Linked DNA regions of Drosophila melanogaster. The protein of the gene in region 1 interacts with the protein of each later gene in a pairwise test. Each region holds a gene or a part of one and is shown in the gene's direction. Other genes may lie near its edges.

Region 1 (3,757 bases):
AATCCTGAGTTTTATATCGTATTTGAGTTTGTATATAGATGCACTACCAGTTTTGAAAGCATTTCATCTTTGACTTAAATGCCATATTGTAATTTTAAAATCGCAACATTTGGAAATGCAAAGAAATGTGATTTCCATTCAATTAATTTTTAAAATACGATATCTGGCATGTAAAGTGTTGATGTAAAGCTTTATGAAAATATGAATTGGAAGTTTTGAAAGACATTAATTATAGTGATTTCTTCCCATGTATGAGCCTGTATCGGGAGTTGGGGGCTGGGGACGTGCTGTCAGCGTATCTGGCTGCTCTCACTCTCTTTCTAACATGATAATTGGACATGGCCTGGGAACGGGTATGTCAGCTACCTTATGGCTACCAGACGAGGCAGCCAACCAAACAACCAACCAACCCTGGCGACATCTTTGGCAGCCCTATGTCTCCTTAATTGCCTGTCGCCTGTCCGCTGAAAGTGAAATTGATATATGATATGGGGGGGGAGATATACCAACTTACTTATATACGTATAAATGAGCGTTCATCACGAATTCTTCGCTAATTCGCCGCTCACAATGGATAATTTCGTAATTCGGGGGCTAATCAAAAATTCGAGCAGTGTGCGAGTGCGTTGACCAAATGGGATTGGGGACCCGATTCGGTCACACCTCGTTTTTTTTTACACTTTAATCAGAAAATATCAATAAATTGTGCAAACTTTCTTTTTGTGCGTGTCAATGTTGTGTGAGGGCGTCCCATGATATGTACTCTCTATAAGATCAGCTTGTGATGCAGACCGAGCCCTTACACACAAATAGCATTAGTTTGCGAATTATCCAAATCAGTTATGGACACAACCTAAGTAAAGAGATAAAAAACTTTCATTTTTCATTTGCTCGACAGGTGAAGAAACGTGTCTCTCCTCAGCCAGAATTTATCAATGATGCAACTGTCTTTCAGTTTGCCTAAACTTAACTTGCTTAATTTGGTTAACAAATTGTTGATGCAATACACGCGAGGTGCTAATGAATTTCGTTAGGGAAAAGGTAAAAGTGATGAAGGGGTATGTTAAAGATATATGTGTGCTCACTCATGTGGGTTGAAATTTGTTTGCTGCTGCGAGGAAAATCTCCATGGAGCAACCAACTTCTTGACCCCATAAAGGATTTGCATCTACCATATAAGCATTTCGCCACAGGATTAGCATCTCACGATCGACTTTCCAATGATATCCAGGAGTTCATATGTCACTCTTGGCAGTGAAAAGAAGAGTTCGACTTGTGGGTTATTCATGGCATTCATTGAGGATTGATGCAGATTATTCAGTTATCTGCAAAAAAAACTTGGTTACTGATTTAATAGAAAATGATTGAGCCTGCAATAGATTTTCATTTGAGTTGGTTTATTTATAGTAAACAAAACTTATATTTTTGTTGGCCACTAATGGTCTTTTTAGATATAATTGATTATAAATGAGCAAATGAGTTGTGCAAAACAAGCATAGATCGTAGGTTAATAGGATTTAAATAGGCTAACTAGTGGATTTATTATAAAATATAAATAAAAACAATGAAAATCAAAGCTTCTTTGTTGGGGATAAGCTTAAAACCCAAGGCACCTTTTGTTTACAAAGAGATGTTGCTAACACAATACTTGCCGGTTCGCTCCCTGCGTTTAGGTCAAGTCAAAGTTCGATGGTTTACATATGACCACCAGAGAATTGCCGAGAGAATTCCTGGAGTATCGCATTCAGTGTGACACTGAAAATGCGCATAGCGGACAGCTTAATTGATCCGTTTGTTCAGTGCATGCCGCACATTTGCTAAAATCCACACCGGCCAACAACAAGTCAATAGCCAGGTGGGTAGCCAAGTTACCAACTTACCAATTTACCTGGCCGTTGGAAGAGAGCCGCTTTTGGCCACCTCGGCTGCCAACTTTCCAAAGAGCCGCTCCATGAGCGCTTTCACATCGCAACTCTCTTAAGTCGCGGTTTGGTATAAAACTTCTTACGTATGCGCGTCATGGCTTAATCTTACCTTGAACTTGGTCGTGAGCAGATCGCCGAGGAGCCAGTGCATCCACATAATCACCTACCCATAACAACAAACAATATTCGTGCGGGTTTTCGATTCGGGTTTTTTGGAAAATAGAATTTGAAAATGGAACAAAGCGCCGTTGTTCTTGTGCGTGCCGATAAACGTATATAAATCACGTGTGTGTGTGCTACTGACTTTGGTTTCTCCAGATTTCCGATTTCATCTAACGGTGCTAGTGAACATACAATATAATATAAATCCACATCGAAGATTAGGAGAGAGGGGCGGCCAATACTAACTATACAAAATGGACTGGCAGCCGGCAGTTATAGCAGGCCTCATCTGTCTGCTCCTGCCAACGCAGATTTCTTTGGCCAAAGCCTGGAGTTTGCCAGCCCGCCATGCAGATCGTTCAGATCTGGCTTTATCGCCAGCACACCAGCAAGTTGGACGACGATTAAATGGTAAGACAGGTCTCCAATCAAAGCTGCTGAGACTCTCTTGCAGCTCCCAAAATTTCTCTGTATTTTAATTTCGTATTTTTTTGGTGTAATATAACGAGTTGTGAGCCAGCAGACAAAGAAACAAAACATAAACAAAAGCCCTAAGTAAAATACGTTTATTGCAGTGAAATTTCAGTTCATTAAGCTGCCTGTGAGAGTGGCGATTTCAGCGTTCGGCAATTATATAATCGGCCAGCCGCCAAACGAAAGTCGCCACTGTCACTGCCACCGAAGCCAAAGAATCGCCAAGATTTATGAGCCACCAGAGTGGCCGCAGATCCATCAGGGCTGTCACTGTAAAACAGGCATCAATCTTGGCCAGCACACGATTCTCCCTCCATCTGGGGAAAAAGATCATAAATAGTTGCAGTGAAAATATATTTTAAGAATATATGTATTGCACACCCACTTTTAGTACCAAATACTAATGAGAAAACATTATATTATTCGGAACTATCTAACATATTGTTTAGAAATTTTGGTGGTTTAACAGAAAAATGATTAATGGCACACGAAAACCCTATTGAAATCTTAATTTCCCCTAATGTTTTTATGAGCTGTCAATCAGGTGACTTCGATGGGCAATGCAGCATAACAAAGTAGCTTGCATGCGACTTGGTTCTTACCAATTTGGTTCTGTTACGTTGTGGAGCGTACGACACTTTTTTCGTGGCCGCTGCTGTTCAGCTTTGTTTCAAGCCACTACAAAGTCTCGAGTGCATGGCGAACAATTAGCAAAGGAAACGGCTCCGAGCTGTGGGGCAACGCATCCAGAAGTAACATAGACATTATTCAGCGAGCACAGTCAAGAATTCTGAGAATTATCACTGGAGCGCCGTGGTACCTTCGGAACGAAAACATACACAGAGACCTAAAAATCAAATTAGTAATCGAAGTAATAGCTGAGAAAAAAACGAAGTATAACGAAAAGCTGACCACCCATACAAATCCCCTCGCAAGAAAACTAATCCGAGTATGCAGTCAAAGCCGGCTGCACCGCAACGACCTCCCAGCCCAGCAATAAACTTATTAGGGCATTAATGAAAAAAAAAAACTATCACTAAGTGAAAGTTAATTAAGTTAGATTAAGATTTGAACACTTATTGTTAGTCTCTTAACACAAAGGGAAGATTCAATAAATAATAAAAATTAAAAAAAAAAAAAAAAAAAAAAATTAGCAAAGGCGAGGCAACAAGTGCAAGAAGGCACTACCATTGCTA
Region 2 (3,757 bases), on another chromosome or scaffold:
TATAACAATAGTTTTAGTTTGGGAATTGATCTAGGTACAAATTAAAAATATTTTTATTATAATACTAAAAACCATTTAATTAATAGAATATTACTTTAGTTTGTCTTAATTCAACTACAAATTTGTTCTCAGCGTATGACAGCTGAAAACAGAAAGATAAACGCGTTTCTGGCTGTCGAAACTCTTATTCCATTGCTGATAGCCTGCTCACGTGCAGTGTCTTCGGCTCGCAACACTCGCACACCCGCAACACTCGCACAGTCGCCGGCACACACACACACTGGCACACGAAGGGGAGCGATTGGATTTCCGGCGGAGATGAGAGCAAGCTACGTGGGCGGGGGGAGTGGCAGGTGGAGTCTGGGAGTGCCAGGAGCTGTATTTGGCCGCCAGCATTTTCCGATGTTGCCGCTTACTTTGTAAGTGTGCGTGTGTGTGCGTTTGTGTGTGTGTCTGGGCGGCTGACGTCATTGAGCTTTTTATTGATTTTCATTTTAACCAAAAAAAAAAAAGAAAAAACAAGAAGAAAACATACTTGGGCTAGGACGCAGGGCAGGAAGGCCAACAGATGTCATCCAAGAAAAGTCGAAATGCGCAATTAAAGAGAGAGAGAGAGAGACTGCAAAGGGGGCTTTCTCGAAGGAAGTTTTTGACAAGAATTTCTTGGGGCCAGCGAATGCTGTGTTGTAAGGTAATTACAAGGAAGAGATGCTTTACAATTTCTAAGAGTTAACTTTAGTTGATTTCAAGCTGCACGTGAATAAAAGCACTTCAAATACAAGTGAAAGCCCACAAACGTATTATGGTGTAATTTAATTTATTGTTTGCAAGCTCAACTGCGTAATCAGGCTGTTTATATAAGTGTACACATATAAACCTGATGTATTTTGATTTTTCTATTATTGTTTGTCAAACAATCGTTATGGCTGATTTTGTTATTTTTGTTGCCTGGTGAAAGCTATGGAAATTAGGTCTATTTGCACAGGCAATTAAAGACTGCCTGGTTTTGGATGAGCACAAATTTAAATTTAAGTTGAATTATAACATATTTTAAAAAAAAATTATAATTACTTAAGGCATTGGTTATCATAACAAAATATTGTGCTACATCACAAACAAAATGCATATTTGTTCGAAAGGGTGTTTTTAAAAAACTTCTACCTCTGTCATATAAATTTAATTAAAAAAAAGTATGTGATTTAATTGAAATTAAAAAAAAATTCTTTAAATTTATTTTACAACAATGATTTTAATACGTATTTATTTTAATAGAAAAATATACATATTTTTGAAAATCTACATCTACAACTAAAGCGACACCTGCCGGCGCGCCACTACAATTCAATTGTGCGGCGAATTAGAAACTTCGCTGTATTAGCCAAGGCAACCACCGGAAATAGTCATAAATTTAGCCGATTCAGCTACCATTGTACCAAAGTACGCCTTTCGTCTTCTCTAAAAACCTGCGCAGAATTAATACGCTTTCTATCTTTCGCTCTTCTACGGGATATGTCAAAGTGACAAGACCATTAAGGCAGACAATGTGAAAGCTATATAAGCGACAAGAGAGCGAAAAACAAACAGATAAAGATAAAGCCACCCCCAAAAAGCCGCCCCTTGCCGTAAAACACGGACCCCCACCAAATGGAAGACAGCCAAACAACCCCCGAAAAAGCAAGGAAAAAATTCAGGAAAAATACCTGAATGAGATTATGATGGGCCTTGAACGAAATGCAAGGGCCAGGGAAAATTGAGAATTTTATTTCAGGCGGGGGGTTAATATTAAGGAGATGCACCACCCACAACAAGCACTTAATAACAAATGTGTGCGTGTGTGTGGGCGCTCTCGCAGGACTTCCGTTCGCTCTTTTCTACGCTCTCTTGGATGCTTTTTGGATCTGCGCGCAGCAATCTCAACGAGATGGGGCGAAAATCTCTAATAAGGATGCCCGATGATGAAAAATTCATGGCCTGGCATCGCACGCATCCTGCGCTGGCTCCTGAGTAAACGAAAACACTCCGACTCAGTCACACGCAGCGAACACAGAGGCCAGCGATATATATAGTGAAAACCCCGAAAAATATAGCCAAATTGAGACCAATATCTGAAATTGTGCGATAAATAAAACGCTGCATACCCCGCAGGGCGCAGCCAACTTATTCCGAAGCCAAATCGAGAAATTCTTCGAAACGCGAGTGCCACCAAAAATTTATTGTTTCGAATTCGCAGCCAGTGATTGTATAATTTCCATTGCTTTGCTATTTTTACGGGTGTGGGCCGTCCAACGGCAGCGGCAAAGAGGATATATCTATCTACATATATCTTCCAGGATATACGGATTAACCCAATCTGCGCCAGAGATAATTACCGAAAATCGACAAATTCCCGGGCATAAAAACTTAATTGACTTGAATAAATAATTTCCAACCCGAGTTGTTGTTGTTTGTTCGCCTACGGTTTTTTTCGGTGAAAGCGAATGCGGGCCCAAAGCGGAATCGGAAAAAGTTACTGAAATACAACGGCAGGAAAAAAAAACGAATACATAGAGAAACTGCCGCTGCCGTTGCCGCCTGTGAAAGCAAAGAGAAGGGGGTGGAGAAGGAGCGTGGGCAAAAAGAGAGCGAGAGGAAGAAAGCGCGGAGGAGGTCGCGGAGTTGGAGAAAGGGGGCTCGAGGAGTAAGAGAAAGCAGCCATTACTGCGAAAGAGAGCCAGAGTCGGAAGAGAAAGTCCAAGAGACAACATCGCAATTTTGTGGAAGACATTCACAGTGGATGGAAAATTTATAAACAAAAGTTAAGCCCTTAAGAGAATGCTGACAAAATAAAAAAAAAACGCACGATAAATATATTTTAGAAATGTAACTTAAAAGAAAAGACTCATATCAACACATATCATTCTATAGTCTATAGAAAATATTAAATAACTAAATATACAACAACAAAAAAAGCTGAGACAAGCAGCTAAATAATTCCAGCAATTACCTAAAAACCAAAACGATATTTTATTGTCTTAAAAGAATAGAAACCAATGCGATAACCATACATATCATGTAAATCGTTTAATGCCAAAAGGTGAAATATGAAAAGTATATTAAATTAGCACATTTAAAAGAAATGTAATTCAAGAAATTAAAAAAATCTACGAATGGAAACGTAAACATATCATGTAAAACGCCTAAAAAGCTTGCTGAATCCCTAATCAAGCTTTTTTATCTTATCAACAAAATAAAAAACAAAACAAATGAACTAGCCTAAGGAGAGTTGTGCAAATTATCGCATACATATCAAAGCTCTTGCAAAGAGCAAATATAAATATTAAATTTACAATTATCTAAGATCTAGTTACCTTAGAAAATCCAAAAGAACAGTAATTTTTGTTAGAAGTTTTACATTAGTTGTCTCGAATATAACAAGAGAGAGATATATACATACAACAATATTGTCACATATCATTGAGGAAGCCTCAGCAAAAGTCTAAAACTATAACGACTAGAAAACATATCAATTAAATTAGACTGCGTGTTTATGAATGCTACGCGAAAATATTAATTACTTTATCAAGCGGACCAATTGCAAATGACGAGAAGACTTCATTGAATTCCAGACGACGGATTGAAAAATAACTAAAGTTCTTAAAAGGTAAGTTTTCACAATAATGAAACCATTAACTGAAAATGGTGGGCTTCTGTGGAATAAACGTAAAGGATTGTGTCATCTGAAACGATATATTAATATTAATTAGAAACAGAATATAAC

Evidence for each region. Proteins that work in one complex are often made in the same cells at the same time.
Region 2: the proteins of CG12017 (region 1) and cpo interact in a two-hybrid assay, tested with the Drosophila melanogaster proteins (one large-scale study listed by BioGRID).

The regions. Positions count from the first base shown.
Region 1 is NT_037436.4:3,278,221-3,281,977, forward strand, and holds the start of CG12017 (uncharacterized protein), read left to right. Parts: upstream 1-2,018; 5' UTR 2,019-2,341; coding exon 2,342-2,498; intron 2,499-3,757.
Region 2 is NT_033777.3:17,917,830-17,921,586, forward strand, and holds the start of cpo (couch potato), read left to right. Parts: upstream 1-2,002; 5' UTR 2,003-3,640; intron 3,641-3,757. UniProt on the Drosophila melanogaster protein: May play a role in the development or function of the peripheral nervous system by regulating the processing of nervous system-specific transcripts.